Arabidopsis thaliana: one gene and its partners. The protein of the gene in region 4 interacts with the protein of the main gene of each other region in a biochemical or structural test. Each region holds a gene or a part of one and is shown on either strand. Other genes may lie near its edges.

The links.
Region 1: the proteins of BZR1 (region 4) and GRF6 form a complex in vitro, tested with the Arabidopsis thaliana proteins (one study listed by BioGRID).
Region 2: the proteins of BZR1 (region 4) and RGA1 form a complex in vitro, tested with the Arabidopsis thaliana proteins (2 studies listed by BioGRID).
Region 3: of the proteins of BZR1 (region 4) and BIN2, one has a biochemical effect on the other in vitro, tested with the Arabidopsis thaliana proteins (3 studies listed by BioGRID).

What each region holds. Positions count from the first base shown.
Region 1 is NC_003076.8:3,283,300-3,287,968, reverse strand, and holds GRF6 (G-box regulating factor 6), read left to right. Parts: upstream 1-1,621; 5' UTR 1,622-1,707; coding exon 1,708-2,193; intron 2,194-2,458; coding exon 2,459-2,581; intron 2,582-3,186; coding exon 3,187-3,303; coding exon of another isoform or gene 3,304-3,354; exon of another isoform or gene 3,355-3,397; coding exon 3,398-3,493; 3' UTR 3,494-3,496; coding exon of another isoform or gene 3,497-3,517; 3' UTR 3,518-4,116; downstream 4,117-4,669. Other genes in the region: AT5G10460 (Haloacid dehalogenase-like hydrolase (HAD) superfamily protein), read right to left, coding at 76-147. UniProt on the Arabidopsis thaliana protein: Is associated with a DNA binding complex that binds to the G box, a well-characterized cis-acting DNA regulatory element found in plant genes. Specific negative regulator of slow-vacuolar (SV) ion channel.
Region 2 is NC_003071.7:254,723-259,581, reverse strand, and holds RGA1 (GRAS family transcription factor family protein), read left to right. Parts: upstream 1-2,013; 5' UTR 2,014-2,237; coding exon 2,238-4,001; 3' UTR 4,002-4,335; downstream 4,336-4,859. UniProt on the Arabidopsis thaliana protein: Probable transcriptional regulator that acts as a repressor of the gibberellin (GA) signaling pathway. Probably acts by participating in large multiprotein complexes that repress transcription of GA-inducible genes.
Region 3 is NC_003075.7:10,294,276-10,299,898, forward strand, and holds BIN2 (Protein kinase superfamily protein), read left to right. Parts: upstream 1-1,862; 5' UTR 1,863-2,198; coding exon 2,199-2,213; intron 2,214-2,250; exon of another isoform or gene 2,251-2,802; coding exon 2,803-2,895; intron 2,896-2,986; coding exon 2,987-3,319; intron 3,320-3,411; coding exon 3,412-3,486; intron 3,487-3,579; coding exon 3,580-3,636; intron 3,637-3,730; coding exon 3,731-3,871; intron 3,872-3,961; coding exon 3,962-4,012; intron 4,013-4,092; coding exon 4,093-4,188; intron 4,189-4,274; coding exon 4,275-4,358; intron 4,359-4,440; coding exon 4,441-4,638; 3' UTR 4,639-5,114; downstream 5,115-5,623. UniProt on the Arabidopsis thaliana protein: Negative regulator in brassinosteroid signal transduction pathway important for plant growth. May be also involved in auxin signaling pathway. Phosphorylates and increases the degradation of BZR1 and BZR2/BES1 by the proteasome.
Region 4 is NC_003070.9:28,183,786-28,188,600, reverse strand, and holds BZR1 (Brassinosteroid signaling positive regulator (BZR1) family protein), read right to left. Parts: upstream 3,098-4,815; 5' UTR 2,893-3,097; coding exon 2,626-2,892; intron 2,282-2,625; coding exon 1,538-2,281; 3' UTR 1,456-1,537; exon of another isoform or gene 1,191-1,455; intron 1,155-1,190; exon of another isoform or gene 955-1,154; coding exon of another isoform or gene 634-954; 3' UTR 555-633; downstream 1-554. Other genes in the region: AT1G75090 (DNA glycosylase superfamily protein), read left to right, coding at 193-334, 413-554, 634-954.

The DNA of each region.
Region 1 (4,669 bases), on a different chromosome or scaffold from region 4:
TTAATGGCTTCGCTCGTCATAAGAGGAGGAGAAAGTCAGAGAGCACATAAGAAGACAGTAAATTGAAGGTCAAACCTTAAAATTTCTCGTCTCAACTATGTCTTTGAGGCCATTCATTGGCTGTGAGAGCTGCGAGGAACAGAACATTTTTCTTCCTGTGACGAGAAGAAGAAGAACTGAAGAGAACTGGACCAATCGAAAAACAAACCACAAAGTGTTTTTCACTTTACCACAAGCACAACGCATACGTACGCGCAACATACGCGAGTAAGCTCCACGCTTTACTTATGTAAAACAACATTATATAGTAGCTAATCCTTCAGCAAACAACATAGTCGCTTTGGCCGAGTGGTTAAGGCGTGTGCCTGCTAAGTACATGGGGTTTCCCCGCGAGAGTTCGAATCTCTCAGGCGACGATATTTTTTTAATATTTTGTCTTTCAAAACAATTTCCCGCCCTTTAAACAAACAACCGCTCAGTTGACCAAAGCGCCCCTTCTCTCTTTCATTCTTATTTTGGTGGCAACAGTGATGAATTTGTATATCAGATTTATAGAAACTTGAAACGATCGCTGAGTTTATATATATATATATATACATTTTATTAACAATAGAACCAAAATGAACATATGAGTCATCACTAATCTAACTACACCATGCCCAACTCTTATAGCTGAATGTTCAAAGTATGGTTTCTATCAACATATTTTTTCTCTCTTCTTCTCCAAGTAGTACAGTATGCAGTTTTCCATATAGCGTTTACAAAAGCATAGACCGAAGCTCCATTATCAATCTTGGTGCCTCCAAATTTTCGTCCTTTAACGAATTCCCGATTAAGCTTTGCATTCGAGTCACAAATATCTCATCTAAAACCTGTAAATCATCATATAACAATAACAAGATAAGAATCAAAAAGGCATATCCTTATTGTTTTTTGCAGTGATAAAGAGTTGTGAAAGAGAAAAAGAAAAAGAAAAATGAGTTGTGAAAGTCCAAAGTAAAGGCCGAAAGAAAACATAACGGCCGAGAGACGGAGCTTGTTCCCATCCGTCGATGCAAAAAAAAATTCCTTCTGGACTCACGGTGACGGTTGACCACATGAACGTATTAAAAAGTCTCCTTTCTCGGACTTTGTCTTTTTATTTTTCACTTTTTTCCTTTGCAGACGACACTACTACTAACTATTGATTTCCATTTTGGTTAATATACTTTAATATTAAAAGAATATATACTTTAGTCTTTTAAATTATGTACTTTATTTCTCTTTAAGAAAAAGTTTTCGCATTTTATGCAACAACAAAAAAAAAGGTGTGTATTACAAACTTCATAAGTATTGGAATTCATAAGGCCCATATTAGGCCTAATAAAGGCCCAATCAGAGTTCTGACTTTAAAACTAGTGACTAGAAGCTGACTCACTAAAAAACTATTATCGTCCATTCACTCGCTCTTATCACAAACCCCAAACCCTCCCAACCATCCCACTCGCCAACACAAACCACGCTCCTCACTCTACGAAAGACTATAACATCAAACGCCGTCGTATAATCGAAAGTGAACACACTTGCGCGTGGGTTTAATATACATCTATTTTTAATAGCCCACCTGACTCTTTGCCCTTTATTCTTCTTCTCTCTTTCTCTTTCCCATTTTCTTCAAATTTTCCCCATTAAACAAAAAAAAATCAAATCTCTCTCTTTCTCTCTCTAATGGCGGCGACATTAGGCAGAGACCAGTATGTGTACATGGCGAAGCTCGCCGAGCAGGCGGAGCGTTACGAAGAGATGGTTCAATTCATGGAACAGCTCGTTACAGGCGCTACTCCAGCGGAAGAGCTCACCGTTGAAGAGAGGAATCTCCTCTCTGTTGCTTACAAAAACGTGATCGGATCTCTACGCGCCGCCTGGAGGATCGTGTCTTCGATTGAGCAGAAGGAAGAGAGTAGGAAGAACGACGAGCACGTGTCGCTTGTCAAGGATTACAGATCTAAAGTTGAGTCTGAGCTTTCTTCTGTTTGCTCTGGAATCCTTAAGCTCCTTGACTCGCATCTGATCCCATCTGCTGGAGCGAGTGAGTCTAAGGTCTTTTACTTGAAGATGAAAGGTGATTATCATCGGTACATGGCTGAGTTTAAGTCTGGTGATGAGAGGAAAACTGCTGCTGAAGATACCATGCTCGCTTACAAAGCAGCTCAGGTTATTTTCATTCTCCAAATCTGATTTGGCTGATAAGTTTTGTTTGTGAACTCTGTTTACGAGATTTCTTCTATTGGTAATAGCTTCCAAATCTAGTAATTATGTCCTGATCTAGAATTGGTCTCTAATTGAGCTACTATGCTTATCAAATCATGAGAAAGTAGATTGCTGTTTTGTTTCAGTTTTTGTCTTAAAGAGTAAAAATTGCTTTCTTCAAACTGATGGAGATGTTTTTGTCTATTTTTCGATGTGATGTTTTTTGAAGGATATCGCAGCTGCGGATATGGCACCTACTCATCCGATAAGGCTTGGTCTGGCCCTGAATTTCTCAGTGTTCTACTATGAGATTCTCAATTCTTCAGACAAAGCTTGTAACATGGCCAAACAGGTTACTCTTCTTCTTTCTTTTTCGCTGCTTGCCTCAATTAGGAACATCTCTTTCTCTCTCTTTCCGTTGCCTCTCTGGTAACAAACATATAAGTCGTTGACCTGAGTTTGTCTCTTGAGAGTTTGCTTCTGTTTCTTGCTTTATGTTATTACAAAAGAGAATTGACCACTTGTTGACTAGTCTTGTTGTACTTTTTTCTTTTCTTAAGATGTATTGTTGGGTAAAGAACCAATCTTTGGCCCTCTGTGTATCATCATTTCTTATCACTTTGAATGAGCTTGCTTGATGTTTTGACTAAGAGGATTGACCACTTGTTGACTATTTCTGTTGTACCTTTATCTCCTGAGTATGTTTTGTTAGATAAAGAACCACTCTTTGATTCATGGTGCTTCATCTAGTATCACTTTGAGTCAGCTTTTTTAACAAAATTCCTCTTTTTTAATAATCACAGACTAATATGATGATGAAGATCCATGTTGTCCAATACTAGGACTGATGTCTCATTCTGTTTCAACTAGAACTTACGTATAAGACATTTAGTAAAACGGCAGAAATTTTTCACTGTGGGGGCATTCTCAATTTTGATACTGGATTTTTAATTGTAGGCTTTTGAGGAGGCCATAGCTGAGCTTGACACTCTGGGAGAGGAATCCTACAAAGACAGCACTCTCATAATGCAGTTGCTGAGGGACAATTTAACCCTTTGGACCTCCGATATGCAGGTATTCACATCTCTTTATGCCGTACCTCGATATTCTACACCATTCGAATAACTATAAAGATCATATCTTAGTGTGATTAGTGTTTCCATCATAGACCAATCAGATGCATCATATAAGAGACATCAAAGAACATGTTAAAACTGAAATAACCGCAAAACCGTGTGTGCTGAGTTATTACTACTCTATGTAACAGGAGCAGATGGACGAGGCCTGAGGATCTAGATGAAGGGGGGGAGGGTTGTTACGCGATGTTTCTGCCACCAAATCGATCTCAAAATCCCCATAACCTTTGCTCAAAAACTGTGAAAAAAGATTGAAGTGTTTATGATGATTATGATTGTGCACAGCTTGATGATTTATCTACTCTACTAAACCTCTGTGCTCTTAATATTTATTGTCTCGACTCTGCTCAAGCCTTAAAAACATCTTTCTCCTTAAGGCTCCTCTGGTTAAATTATGATCCTTCTACTGTATCGTCAAAATCAAGTTGGAACCCAAAATTCGTGGATTTTTTGTCGGTGTGAAACTGTGAATAATAAAAATCGTCAATGTTGTTACGTATATAAAATCCAGTCAAACCAAGAAAATCTGTGCAACATAGGCTGTGGAAGAATGCGACCATAGAGAAGCACACACGTATCAAAGAAGTCGAATCTCTCATTACGCAAAGAGATGCAAAATATCAAAAGTGTACTTGGACCACTTTGTCTGCATTGCATGCATGAAAACTATTTATAAAAATAACAGTCTTTGGTCGAATTCTGAGACATTTAGTTGTTTTCTCATACATTACTCCAACTTTTCTTTTTCTTCCACCAATCTTTTCAGAGAAAGATACTGTAAAAACCAAAGTTGCTCGCTCACACGTGATTCCAGTCCACGTTCATTATTTATATAAAGCTTGTCATGTTAAAAGCTTTATATGATTTTAAAGATGTTTATTCTTGAAGTTTAATTGTATTTGGATTTTCTTAAGTAGTGGTATTATTTTTACGGGTTTCTTTTCTTTGAACTTTTTGGTTTTCAGTTCTTTTGTTAAGAGTTTTCCTTTTCAGTCTAAATGCAAATAGATGAATGGATCACAATATGTGTGCTCTCCTTTTAACTATTATGTAGCAAATGATTTTCGATAGCCAAAAAGACTTGAGATGAGTCTCCTCATGTTAGTTATCTAATGATTGCATATGACAATCACATGATCTTATGCTTATGCAGGGGGTTCTGAAAATTCGGTGTTCTCAAGCTAATTATATTGTAGTCCACGAATATGTTTGGTGCAAACGATATTCACACTTCTCACCTCACCAGCAACAATATTAGCTTCTAACTAACAACACTAATATAATGACTAGATATTCATTGACTT
Region 2 (4,859 bases), on a different chromosome or scaffold from region 4:
GGGGAGTGATGTTTGCTAGAAATTGTGGAAAAGTTATGGATATTTGAGTTATCACTGAAAAATATGTTTATAAAAAATGGAGAAGACTTAAAATATAACATTTTTAAAAATATTATGTACAGAAACAAAACCATGGTTTTGCATGGAAGAAATAACAAAATTAATATGAACCCAAAAAAAAAAAAAAAAAAAAAGTGAATTTAATGATAAATAGTTAAAGAAAGTGACGTAACATGACAATATAACATGTAACAAATGGATAGAGATGAAATTAAAAAAAACGGATCCGTAAAAACGGCCGTCAAGATGAAGGAAGCAGACTCGGTCCCTACCGTTTTAGATCTAATAATAATAGGACACGTGTTCAAATCTCATGAATTTTAGTAGAGACCACAAAAGTTCCAACCGCGTATAGTTATTGAAAGCTATATTGTGGGACCCATTAACACGTGGATCCATCACGTGCTGTCAGTTTGAGTTTCCTGAAGGATACAAATGAATATATTCTTTTCTTTTTAATACAGTTGATAGAAAGAGGCCGTTAATGACGGCGTTAAGCAATGTAACGGGAATCTCTTTGAATGATTTGACGTCGACGGACGCCGGCTGTTATGCTTAAAAACGGGTTTTCTTGTCACACCATTTTTTTTGCCTTTAATTAATTGTATTTCGAGCTATGAATGCTTAGTAATATTACACTATTAGGTTTTGTTTGCTTGATGATTTTTTTATATAGTCGGAACTTTAATATTGTCATCAAATATCATTAAATTTAATGTTTTCATTCGTGTTTTATTTAGTTTTTGTTGTTTTCGTAAGTTTTAAGTGGCTAGTTATATTTTTTATTTAGACTTTGACAGTAACAGTAGATTAGCATAAGCCTAAGTTAACTTTGTCAAGTTAAAAAGATCGAAGATACAACATCTGAAATCTCGATATATATTTATTATTATTATGAAAGCTTTTAAAATTATATGCATCTTGGAAATTAGAAGAAAAAATATGACCTAATTAACGTTTAATACTTGAAAGTTACTTCTATAAAAGAGAACTCGAAAATTGAAAATACATTGGTCCGATGATTTTTCAATACCCAATTATAGAATCCCTTTTAGAGATTTTTTTTTGTACATAAACTGAACCTGTAGGACTTAAAGTTACTGTAAAATTACTAGTACTGTACTTTTGTTAAAACCAAAATTTACTATTCTTTTATCTGATCATACGCAATTTTAGATTTATGTTTTCGATGGCTGAGCTTCAAACAACTTGTTGGAAAAAATAAAATAATAATCTCTTACAATTCAAAATGTGATTATATATCATTATTTTTTTACATCCAAGACATATGGTTAAATTATTATTACCATAAAGAAACTGGGAAGTAAAACAGTATCATGCTATCATGAAGTGAGTTCAGCTTTTTAAGTTGAATTTAATTATCCTCTGAAAAAGAGCATCTTCAGTTCTTCCATCAAAAGAATCAACTAAAAAGCCCTAAATCTCCTATTTTATAGATTTGACAAAAGTTTAATGATTCTCTTAGACTTGTAATTACTTTCTTCATCAATTAAACTAAAATTATTATATAGTTAAAAAAACAAACTCATAATATATCTATTCAGTAGATCCACAATTTTTTATATTACTCCATCAGATCTTGTAAATCAAAACAAAAAAATACACATCACAATGAATGTAAATATCACTTCAAATATACAGAAATTCTAAATGTTTTTACACACTTTATTTTTTTTTACGTATATGAAAATAAAAATAAAATTAGTAATGTGTGTTGTAATTTCACAGCCTTATCACTTTAGATGTGTATGTATGTTACTCTTTCTGGTACATTATTCATTGGTCGTCGAGCCCCATCACCACCATTCTTTTTCTTTTCTTTTTTTAATTTTCATCCAGAATAAATATCTTTTTATTTTAATAAATTTATATTTTCTGGTAAATAAAATAAATATTTTTTGAGAAATTTTTTTATTATTATTTTGAGAAATTATTATTATTAGTTCTGGTATGAATGATGATTGAAGTGGTAGTAGCAGTGAAAAACAAAAGCAATCCAATCCCAAACCCATTTGCTCTTAAGATTCTTCACATAGAGAAGTCACATGTTCCTTCTTCTTCTTCCTTCATCATCCCCAAACACACACAAACTAAAAAAAAGGCAAAACCCTAGATCCAAGATCAGACCTAATCTAATCGAAACTCATAGCTGAAAAATGAAGAGAGATCATCACCAATTCCAAGGTCGATTGTCCAACCACGGGACTTCTTCTTCATCATCATCAATCTCTAAAGATAAGATGATGATGGTGAAAAAAGAAGAAGACGGTGGAGGTAACATGGACGACGAGCTTCTCGCTGTTTTAGGTTACAAAGTTAGGTCATCGGAGATGGCGGAGGTTGCTTTGAAACTCGAACAATTAGAGACGATGATGAGTAATGTTCAAGAAGATGGTTTATCTCATCTCGCGACGGATACTGTTCATTATAATCCGTCGGAGCTTTATTCTTGGCTTGATAATATGCTCTCTGAGCTTAATCCTCCTCCTCTTCCGGCGAGTTCTAACGGTTTAGATCCGGTTCTTCCTTCGCCGGAGATTTGTGGTTTTCCGGCTTCGGATTATGACCTTAAAGTCATTCCCGGAAACGCGATTTATCAGTTTCCGGCGATTGATTCTTCGTCTTCGTCGAATAATCAGAACAAGCGTTTGAAATCATGCTCGAGTCCTGATTCTATGGTTACATCGACTTCGACGGGTACGCAGATTGGTGGAGTCATAGGAACGACGGTGACGACAACCACCACGACAACGACGGCGGCGGGTGAGTCAACTCGTTCTGTTATCCTGGTTGACTCGCAAGAGAACGGTGTTCGTTTAGTCCACGCGCTTATGGCTTGTGCAGAAGCAATCCAGCAGAACAATTTGACTCTAGCGGAAGCTCTTGTGAAGCAAATCGGATGCTTAGCTGTGTCTCAAGCCGGAGCTATGAGAAAAGTGGCTACTTACTTCGCCGAAGCTTTAGCGCGGCGGATCTACCGTCTCTCTCCGCCGCAGAATCAGATCGATCATTGTCTCTCCGATACTCTTCAGATGCACTTTTACGAGACTTGTCCTTATCTTAAATTCGCTCACTTCACGGCGAACCAAGCGATTCTCGAAGCTTTTGAAGGTAAGAAGAGAGTACACGTCATTGATTTCTCGATGAACCAAGGTCTTCAATGGCCTGCACTTATGCAAGCTCTTGCGCTTCGAGAAGGAGGTCCTCCAACTTTCCGGTTAACCGGAATTGGTCCACCGGCGCCGGATAATTCTGATCATCTTCATGAAGTTGGTTGTAAATTAGCTCAGCTTGCGGAGGCGATTCACGTAGAATTCGAATACCGTGGATTCGTTGCTAACAGCTTAGCCGATCTCGATGCTTCGATGCTTGAGCTTAGACCGAGCGATACGGAAGCTGTTGCGGTGAACTCTGTTTTTGAGCTACATAAGCTCTTAGGTCGTCCCGGTGGGATAGAGAAAGTTCTCGGCGTTGTGAAACAGATTAAACCGGTGATTTTCACGGTGGTTGAGCAAGAATCGAACCATAACGGACCGGTTTTCTTAGACCGGTTTACTGAATCGTTACATTATTATTCGACTCTGTTTGATTCGTTGGAAGGAGTTCCGAATAGTCAAGACAAAGTCATGTCTGAAGTTTACTTAGGGAAACAGATTTGTAATCTGGTGGCTTGTGAAGGTCCTGACAGAGTCGAGAGACACGAAACGTTGAGTCAATGGGGAAACCGGTTTGGTTCGTCCGGTTTAGCGCCGGCACATCTTGGGTCTAACGCGTTTAAGCAAGCGAGTATGCTTTTGTCTGTGTTTAATAGTGGCCAAGGTTATCGTGTGGAGGAGAGTAATGGATGTTTGATGTTGGGTTGGCACACTCGTCCACTCATTACCACCTCCGCTTGGAAACTCTCGACGGCGGCGTACTGAGTTTGACTCGAAGCATACGACGGTGGTGGAGTCGAGTCGAGTGAATTTGAGATTGAGATCAGTGGACCGGTGATGACATATGTTCGGACCAAGACCTAAACCGAACTGAATCGAACCGTTTTGCCTTTTGTTTATTTTATTTATTTTCGTTCACTTGTTTAAAATTCTTATATATATCGTTTTGGTAGGTCATTTTTAATTTATGCCTTTTTGGGATCAATTTTTAATAGGCTGAGTTTGTATTTATTAATAAATTATCTTTATGAATTTTAAACTAAAACTATGTTTTAATCTCATTTAAAAAAAAATTAATATCAAGTTTTATTAATCTCAATTTCTTGGCAAAATAATTTTTTTTTATCGACTTCACTAAGTATGAACAGTAATAAACTAATAATTAGTGAATTTAGATATTTCTAATTTGTTAATGAGGTTTATTTTATAAAGTAAAGTTGAGAAAGAGAAAGGGATGATAGTGAGTTATAACTATTGTTACAAAGAGTACTAACTACTAAGCGATAATTTCATGAAAAAGGTTTTGATACTTTTTTTAGTGGAGTGTGATTTAACAATTTTGGCTCATATTTTTAACTAATTTCTCATTGGCTGTAATCATATCGAAAAGCCAAAGTTTATGAATTGTGGTGAAGAATATAGTAAATATTTATTTAGATCGACACATCAACTTTTAGATCCGATGTTTTAATCTTTAGAAATGTTTAGTATTTTCTAATTGCAGGCGTATGTAACTTATTAATGTTAAACAAACCCTCGTGTAGTCTCGTAGACTCTCATAGGAGATATATATTAAAGTCTATAACCTGGTCTAGATGTATAGTTTATGTGTAATTAGTACAT
Region 3 (5,623 bases), on a different chromosome or scaffold from region 4:
CCTCTGGAAAGAAAATCAATTCTATAATACTTCAATAACTTTTTAGTAAAACTAACTGGATCAACTGATGAATCATATATCAAAAAAACAAAAAAAAAAACTAACGGAGGTAGACAATAGTTTAGCTGGAATGCTTGAAGAAATGGCAAGAATATGCTTCGAGAAGTTATGATTTATGAAGAGGTTACCTGCAAATTTTTTCATTTCTTTTTGCCGACGGTTGGCTGTTAGTTAGGAAAAAGAATTTTTGTTATAGGATTTTCTCTTCCGTTTCGTACAAACCCAATCATTATTCTCGTCTTTATACTTAACTTTGCCTCTCATTTTCATGTTATCAATCTTTTAAATTAAATATATCGTCAATGACTGTTATGAATAATTAGTTCTTCATTCTCTGCCTTGGTTCGAACCTCAGTCACATGGTGCACGTTATTGTGATTTCCCATACCTCAAGAGTTATTCAAGATCCCTTACAGAAATATATTTATATAATCTTTTATCTAATGTAGTTATTTACAAACATGTATTATCTACCAAAATAAAAAGGGCTAAAAGCTTCTTGAGTGAGACCGCTTTTGGTTCGATTCATTTTCCTACACTCCAATAGTATTACACTATTGTATATAACAAGAATCGTGGGATTTGTTTAATCCGTACAATGAAACAAGAAAGATATACAATAACTTAATATCATTTTTTTTTGGGGACAATCTTAATATCATTTCTAATTTCTATAGAACCAAAAACACTCATAACAACTTAAACTTTGTTTTTTGTGAGAAAAATAACAACTTAATTACTAGTTACTACATTGACAATTTAACATCTTCAGCTAAAACCGAATGTATATGAACATTTATAATCTAGTTGCTATTGTATATACGATTGGATAATACGCATATCGACATTTAAATAATTGAGCCTGAAGATAATTCACAAATATGCAATGTAAATCCGTCCATACAGCCAAAAGTATGTATGTCCCATGCATAATTGAACAAAAAGAAATTATATTAATATTATTTTTGTTGTCTTCTGCAAATGCTAGGACTGCTATCATTATCATCATTGATTTTAATATTGATGTTTCCAGAAAAATAAATAAACAAATATAAAGAAAAAAACAAACACAATAAGTAAAGCTACACTATTAGGTAATAATTAAAGCTCATTTTTAAGTCTAAAATTTTAATTATAAAATAAAAACATTAAAAAGTTAAGACCCAAAGAAACATAAATGCTTTTTTCTTTCATCAATGTCAAAAAAGAAGTTTTCCCACCAAATGGTCAAACTTGGATCTTTGACAATATTGTTCCAATTTCATCATGCCCTATCTTTTCTATTTATACACATACCTTAGATATAATTATTAAACCCAAAATTTGTGTTAAGAAAAAAAATAGACCCAAAATTTGTGTTAAGAAAAAAAATAGACCCAAAATTTGGAATATATATATAAGTCACCGCTGGAAAAAAAATTATTGCAAGTAATTTCTTATATGAAATTGGAATGATAATATTTTGATCAAGTATCCATTACTAAAATTTTACAACGCTAGATAACGAGATTGCTTGAAGTCGAACTTGTGAACAAATTATAATAATGTAAAACTAACTTGTATTGACTAATCTTTGATTTTTTTTACAATAATGAGTGATATTACATTCATTTTATTAACTAAATACAACGAATATGATAAATATTCAGTCCTCTTATAAACTTTATGATAGTGAAAATTTGAGACATTGACAATTCTAGCATTCTAACATTTTATGAGATTACATGAAATGTCAATTTAGACCTTAAACCAAACGAATACATGATTCAAATTTGACCGACAAGTACATGATGCCTTCCCTTTGATCACGAAATTTCCACAAAGAGTCCGTGTCTGCGTAATTAACCAGCAATTTCAAGGGTGTTTACGTAATTGTAGCTTAACAAATAAAAAACACGAAAGAAGATGGCGAAGAAAACGGAAAGTAGTAGATAGATAAAGAAAGAGAAAGAGAAGAGCTGGATTCACATGGTCTTGTTCTTTCTCTCTCCTTCTTTTCTCATCTTGCGGCTTCCCTTTCTCTCTCTATCGCCACAATGATCATTACCAACCAAACTGATTGAAACTCATTTGTTCTCTCTCTCTCAAATCCACTCTCTCTCTTTCTTTTCTCTTCTCCTCTCTGTGTCTCTATCGCCATGGCTGATGATAAGGTAAAGCTGCTTGTGTTCCTTTTGCTGTCTTTTGAAGAAGAAGATCCTGTTTTTTGGTTTTTCCACATTTGACCCTTCAATTAGTTGTCTTGAGATTCCTGTTCTTACAGATGTTTTGTGATAATAAATCTAGTTTAGTTAGTACTCTTGAAGTTGAACGGTTTTGAGTTCTGGGTTTGTCCAAAGTTTTGAGCTTTCGTTAACTTTTTGACTTACCCTGAGATCTCTGAGGGTTTTGAGTTCTGAGCTTAGAATTTTCTAAGTTAGCTCTGTTGGGATGATCCATGTCTATATATCTCGATCTGTGATTAATCCAGAGTTTATACAAGCTGCTAGATCCATAATTGAACATAGATTAGTCCTTGTTTGGTTTGTTATATGTATTTGTTTTGTTTACCATTCTTTTGGCGTGACAAAAGTATATATTTTTAGTTTTAACTAAATCAGATTCACTCTGCGTAACGGTTATTTTGTAACCACTCTTTTAGGATAAAAGTTTCCTTCTTTAGACTTTTGATTCTCAGACAAGCATTATTCTTTTAGCTTTTGATAATGGTTTTGTGCTGATATTAAAGCTTTTCTCTTTCAGGAGATGCCTGCTGCTGTAGTTGATGGACATGATCAAGTCACTGGTCATATTATTTCCACCACAATCGGTGGCAAAAATGGTGAACCAAAACAGGTATTTTTAAGGCTTTTAACCAAATAGACTCACTTTTATGTATATGCAAGATTTTGATGGTTACCAATACATTTTTCTATGTTGTTGTTAGACAATTAGTTACATGGCGGAGCGAGTTGTTGGTACAGGCTCGTTCGGGATCGTTTTCCAAGCAAAATGTTTGGAGACTGGAGAAACCGTGGCGATAAAGAAGGTTTTGCAAGATAGAAGATACAAGAACCGAGAACTTCAGTTGATGCGTGTGATGGATCATCCGAATGTGGTTTGTTTGAAGCATTGCTTCTTTTCGACTACAAGTAAAGACGAGCTTTTCTTGAACTTGGTTATGGAGTATGTCCCTGAGAGCTTGTATCGAGTTCTGAAACATTATAGTAGTGCAAACCAAAGAATGCCTCTTGTCTATGTTAAACTTTACATGTATCAGGTAATAACAACACACATTCATATCTTCCATTTCCAAAGTTGATGTACATAAGATTGTTCTTAGGCTGATATTACTTCCTTTTGTTATGTTAGATCTTCCGGGGACTTGCTTACATTCACAATGTTGCTGGAGTTTGTCACAGAGATCTAAAGCCTCAAAATCTTCTGGTATGTGTAACATTTTAAGATTGAACTCTTTGTTTTTTTTCTTGCCTTTGTTTCTTTCGTTCTTAATGTATCTCTTCTGGTCTCTTTCTATAGGTTGATCCTCTTACTCATCAAGTCAAAATCTGTGACTTTGGCAGTGCGAAACAGCTCGTAAGACTTTGTGACATATAAACTCATTCGACTTGTAGCGGTTGTTGTTTTCTGTGATCTTGTCATTTACTGTTGAAATTTACTTTTGCTTCAGGTTAAAGGTGAAGCCAACATTTCTTACATCTGCTCACGATTCTACCGTGCACCCGAGCTCATATTTGGTGCCACTGAGTACACAACTTCTATTGATATCTGGTCTGCTGGTTGTGTTCTTGCTGAGCTTCTTCTTGGTCAGGTAAACAATTCTTTCAGTAACCAGCTTATTCAATCTCCATGTGTATATTTGCATTAGGACTCATTGTGACTATATCATGTTCTTATGCAGCCATTATTTCCCGGAGAAAATGCTGTGGATCAGCTCGTTGAAATTATAAAAGTAAGAATCTTTAAACGATGATTCCTTGCAAATTACATTCTTTGGCTACAAAATCCTCACTGTATAGTTGTTGTACACAGGTTCTTGGTACACCAACTCGAGAAGAAATCCGTTGTATGAATCCACATTACACAGATTTCAGGTTTCCACAGATAAAGGCACATCCCTGGCACAAGGTTAGTGTCTTTTCTCTTTTTGCATGTGTTCTTGTTTCAGTTTCTTTCTTCACACATCAACTGATCATAATTACGTTTTGGTTTAGATCTTCCACAAAAGGATGCCCCCAGAAGCGATTGATTTTGCATCAAGGCTGCTTCAATACTCTCCAAGTCTAAGATGCACAGCGGTAAGCATTGGTCTTGAGGTTTCTTCAGTCTCTAAGAATCCAACTGAATCCTTACTATATATTTTGTTTCCTCGTATTTCAGCTCGAAGCTTGTGCACATCCGTTCTTTGATGAACTCAGAGAACCAAACGCTCGTTTACCAAATGGACGGCCTTTCCCGCCTCTCTTCAACTTCAAACAAGAAGTAGCTGGATCATCACCTGAACTGGTCAACAAGTTGATTCCAGACCATATCAAGAGACAATTGGGTCTAAGCTTCTTGAATCAATCTGGAACTTAAAAGGGATCCTGCAAAAGACAACTACTTTTTTATATATAATGTACCATTACACGAGCCACAAGGTCGTAGTTGAAGGCAAACGTGGAGGACACAATTCAAAGTTTTTCCTCCTCAAACTCGTTCAGACAAAGCCAGCTGCTAGCAAAACCAACTCCCCCAAATCTGCGAAAACAAAAACTCTCCAGTGTTGTATCTGCTTATTTCTCTTCTCTTTTCAAGTTTGGTGAAAAACACAGTCTCCTCTTTGCTTCATTTCTTCTTTCTTTCCCCCTTATGTAAATGAGTTTAGTCAGAAGTTTTTTTATATAGTAAAGTTTGGGCAGAAGGTGAAGAATGTAATCAAAGTGATACTCTTTCAACGAGGAGCTTCTTTCAAACACTTTTTTTTTTTTTCAAACACTTCATGAATGGATACATGGTTTTGCTTTAAGCATAAGTATATTTGTATTAAATTTTCACTCAATTTAATTGCACGAATCATTACAAAAATAATATCTCGCTACTCATATAAATACCCTATAAATAAATAAGTGAATTTTTTTTATCTCTCATGGAAATTTGATTTATGTATTTATATGTTTTAAGATTCGAAGAAATTTTTAAATAATGAAAATTTACAAATATATAATTCTTAATTCAGAATTTCAGATATTGAATTACTTATTGGATTTTTAAAACAAAAAGAAAATTACATGACTTTTTTTTTCTTTTTTTTTTTTAAATATCTGTTAGTTCAAGTTAAAAGACCATACATTTTCTAAAGGCGGGACCTATATCAGGTTAAATTCATCTCCTTTTAGAAAAAAAATATATTTGGGAAAGGCTTTGATAGCAAGCAATTAAAGTATCCGAAACTAACAAAACCTATCTGGTCTTGGACTCTTAGTCTTTATATAAACAACATCAGATAGATCGAGAGACCATACGCAACAATTTACTAATTTCTCTTCTCCTTCGTTGCTTTTGAAACCCTAGTTATTATCGA
Region 4 (4,815 bases):
TTTTGATAATACGTTAAAGTTAATAAAGGTTACAATCAGTTTTCATAGATGTCAACAACACATTAATTGCACCTAGCAAAAACTAGGTATTGTAGTTGATAAATAAGGACAAAAAAAAATGTAGAAGATGATTGATGACATTGGATATGTAAGTTTTTCAGTTAATAATAATAATGGTGATTGATCAAACAGACCCGATCTATGTTTTGTTCCACGACGAGGAATGGGGTGTTCCAGTTCGTGATGACAAGAAACTCTTCGAGCTACTTGTCTTCTCACAAGCTTTGGCTGAGTTTAGCTGGCCTTCAATCCTACGCAGAAGAGACGACTTTAGGTAAACTTAGGACGGTGAATTTGCTATTTTGTGTTTTGGTTTGGTGTGATATCAGAAGTTTTGGTTTCTTTTTTGTAGGAAGCTCTTTGAAGAGTTTGATCCTTCAGCTATAGCACAATTCACAGAGAAGAGGTTGATGTCTCTTAGAGTTAATGGGTGTCTAATTCTATCCGAACAGAAACTGCGAGCAATTGTAGAGAACGCGAAATCTGTTCTCAAGGTAGGCACTGTGTGTTTTGCTATGAAATTGTAGATACTATGTGTTTACTGAAATAGCTTTGGTTGTAATCTGAAAACAGGTCAAGCAGGAATTTGGATCGTTCAGTAATTATTGTTGGAGATTTGTGAACCACAAGCCATTAAGAAATGGCTATCGATATGGTCGTCAAGTACCGGTTAAGTCCCCAAAGGCAGAGTACATTAGCAAAGATATGATGCAGAGAGGGTTTCGCTGCGTTGGTCCTACTGTTATGTATTCCTTCTTGCAGGCCTCTGGCATTGTTAATGATCATCTCACAGCTTGTTTCAGATACCAAGAATGTAATGTTGAGACTGAGAGAGAAACAAAAAGCCATGAGACTGAAACCAAACTGGATCTGCATTCTCCATTACTTGTTTGATCAGAAACAGGGATTGGACTATTAAGAAGATGAGTGACCAGTGTTTGTATTCGTTATGGAATGTACCATTTGTAGCTAGCTGTGTTCATTGATTATGCTACTATCCTAGCTAGCTTTGTCTAACTAGATATTTGATGATGTGTTAGTGTTTGACCAAAAGATTGATTGCAGGGAAATAAAGAATTTAACATTTTGTAAAAGCAAATGTTTTTGCAAATTTTGGATCTTGATGCTAAGAGACAGAATCGGCTCAAGAAATGATATATGACTAAGCAATTTGACAAGACACAAGACAGTTTCAAGCCACTAATTAATGTAACATATGTAAGGAAACAGAATCATACATCTTAAGATTTTTTTATCTACAAATAATGCTTTTGAAACCAAATTCATGAATTGAATAACCACTCTAACACTCCAATGCTTCCATGGAGAAGGCTTTGGGCAGCATATTTGGATAATAAGTGAAGAACATATGAGATTCCATAAAGATCCAAATACCTGGACGAAGAAGAAAATACTCAAGAGGATTAGTTTCTCATATTCCAATGACATGCCATTTGGGTTTGCCTAGTTGTTTATGTCAACCACGAGCCTTCCCATTTCCAAGTGTAAGCTCAAGATCCTCCATACCCACATCATGTATCCTCTCTCCTTCCCAGGGTTTAACTTGGCTATTCTCAAATTTAAACTCAGAGCTTTGACCAATCTCTTGGAAGGCAGCAGTATTTGGAGACATCTGCTGAGGCGCAGGTTTCACAAGATTGAAGGTAGGAGAGGTTGGCACCATAGAGGCAGAGAATGGCTGTTGTTGTGCAAACTTCTGAAAGCTTATCCAATGACCAGAATCAACAGTGGAAGAGTCAGACTCATCACATTCAGGTATAGTAGCCGGGGTATGAAACTGGTGGCGATGTGTCGGACTAGCAGGTGCAGAAACCGCATAGAAAGGATAATTAAAAGACGCCATTGATTGTTTAGCAATGGCCATGGATTGCTTAGCGATAGATTCCCAGTTAGGCAACGGTTTCGGGTTCTTAGAAGTCGGCGATGAGACCGGTGGGGTAACTGGACAACTGTTTGAGATTCTGAGGGAAGGAAGAGAAGAAGGAATGCCACCATTTCTGAGGAAAGGGAAGAATGTAGAGGACATGTTGTTATTTGGTTCACCGCGAGAAGGACTCGGGAATGATGAAGAAGACGGGCTAACTTGGTAAGATGGGATGGGACTTTGAAAGGCTGATGAAAGAGGGCTCTGGTTCTGTGATGAATATGGAGTTACTCGAGATGAAGTCCCAGCTATCTCACCAGGTAAAGGCTTGCATCCCTGATACTCCAACAAAAGCAAAACAATAACCAATCAAACATCAATCAATCACAGGTAAGCAAAAGAAACACAATGCAATGACTTTGGACCAAGTATCATACATAAAAGATTAAGACTTTAGCATACCAATAATAACTCTAAAATTAGAAAGAAAACCCATAAATTCACTTTGAGAAATCAGATCCATCCATAGTTTCTGATGATTCAAATTCACTTTGAGAAAACCCTCAAATTCTCAGATTCAAACCCATTTAACCACAATTGAAATCAACGAATTCAGATTCAAACATCAAAAACATCAATAAAACAAGCTCAGATCTGGAAAAAATGGAGAAAGTCTTCACCTTGCGATAAGTAGTACCATCTTCTTCAACAACCCAACCAGCTTCAACACAAAGAGCTTTAAGGACTTCATTATTATCACAATGTTTAGGCAAATTATAATCACCTTGAGCTCTAAGCCCAGTGTATATCTTCGCAGCTACAGCTCTTCTCCGTCTTTCTCTCCTCCGATTATTCTCCCTTTCTCTCCACGACGGCTTCCTCCTCGCCGCTGCTGCCGCCGCCGCAGCTGCAGCTGCTGATGTCGACGTAGCTCCATCCGAAGTCATCGGGAAAACCAACAACCAACCCCTCGAAACTTCCGGAGAGAGCTTTGAATAGGTGGGTGAAAGATTGTGTGAACGTAGACTGATGAAGAAGAAGAAGAGAGGAGTGAGAAGTTAGTGCTCACGAGGAATACGCTTTTCCTTCGCTGGAATCGAAGAAGAAGAATCTCTCTTTCTTCTCCAACAAATAATAATATTTTTTTCATCTAATGTAAAAATTGGGTCGTGTGTGTGTTCAAGTACATTGAGTTCATATTAAGAATCATTGTTCTTGTGTATCGATCGTCCACGTGTAAATACATGGTTTTGGAAGGGTGAGATTACGTGAGGTGAATATAAGAGGTGTATGTTAAGGTGCAGAGGATAACTACGCTTAGTAACGTGTGTTTATGTTCTAATCTTTTTTTTTTTCTGTGAGTATGTAAAATGAGTAATGACCAAATAATACAGAGAAAAGAAAGGAGGAGACACAGTGGGACCGTTTCTTCAGTGTGGGTCCCTTACTTGTGTGACCGAAAAACACACCATTTGATTGGTTTTTAAAATTTTATTTTATACAGTGAAGCCGTGTGATTAACATCATAATGATATATTCAATTAAAAATTATCACTTTTTTCTTGCATACAAATCTCACTTTAGAAACAATTTTGACTACTTTTGTCCTGATTAGTTGTATGTACACTGGCTCTCTCTTTTTTTTACCTTCTTCGTACCTTACAAATGATATAAAGATTGGTGAATACCATTTACTATGTTCTATAAAGTATTTAGTTTGGTTACATGTTGATTTTAAGCTTTAGTATCTAATATCCAAATTTTGGATTAATTGCTGGGTCCATCATTATTTATGTATTCATAACCAAAACTTGTATAGTTCATTGAACATAAAAGGAAAAAGGGGTTTACGAGTTTGTCCCATAACAAGGTTCGGCGGCATATATGATGTATGATCATGTAATATTTTTGGATTATGACGTTTATTTTGTAGAAAGTGCAGGAGCATGTAACTAATGTCTTAAAAGCAGAGGAACCCGAACCATCAACGCGAGTTGGGAAACATTTGGAATGAATCAGAGGGTTCGATGAATTAGGCAAAACTAAAGTAATCGCCGTTGCCGGGGATCGAACCCGGGTCACCCGCGTGACAGGCGGGAATACTTACCACTATACTACAACGACTTTGTTGCTAATCGAGCGATTATGTGTTAATTATTGGTGATACGTTTTAAATCATCAGTTAAATCTTAATACCAGCTTTCGTTTCTAGCATTAAAAGGAATTTAGGGGTTTTCTTCTTTGGTTTGGCACTAGTAACCTACTTGTGATAATAAGTAGATTATGTGTTAAGTATGTTTTTTTTGGAAATATGTTCTGTTTTTCCGATTAACTCCATGTTACCTAGCTAACTCGTTTTGGACAATAAGTACATTACTTTAAACCATCAAACTTACAAAATGCTATGTCTTGAACAAGAAAAAATGTTGGCTTAAGAATCACTCCATGAACATTGTTTTAGTTTAGTTAAATGTTCAATATGGACATTATACGATGACATATTTAATAGAGGCGTGATTTCAAATTCAAATTACATTGGAGAGGAACGAAAACAAATAAACAATAGGGGTATAATCGTAACTTACGCATGCATGGGCCCCATAACTCCTGACTTTTTTTTTATTTTGAAAAAACCCAGTCAACCATTCATATTCACGTCGATCGCGTGTAGACATTACACAAAATTTACGAAGTGTGGCCCTCGTTTTCCTTTTTTGATCATTTTAAAACCCTCTAAAAGCATCAATCTCAGATTCCAATACAAATTAGTACCCAAAATGTTTCATACAAATTAACCAAACGTATCCACTCCTTTCTTTTTTGTTTCAATTTCGTTTTTACAAAATCTAAATCTTCACAACCAAGACAAG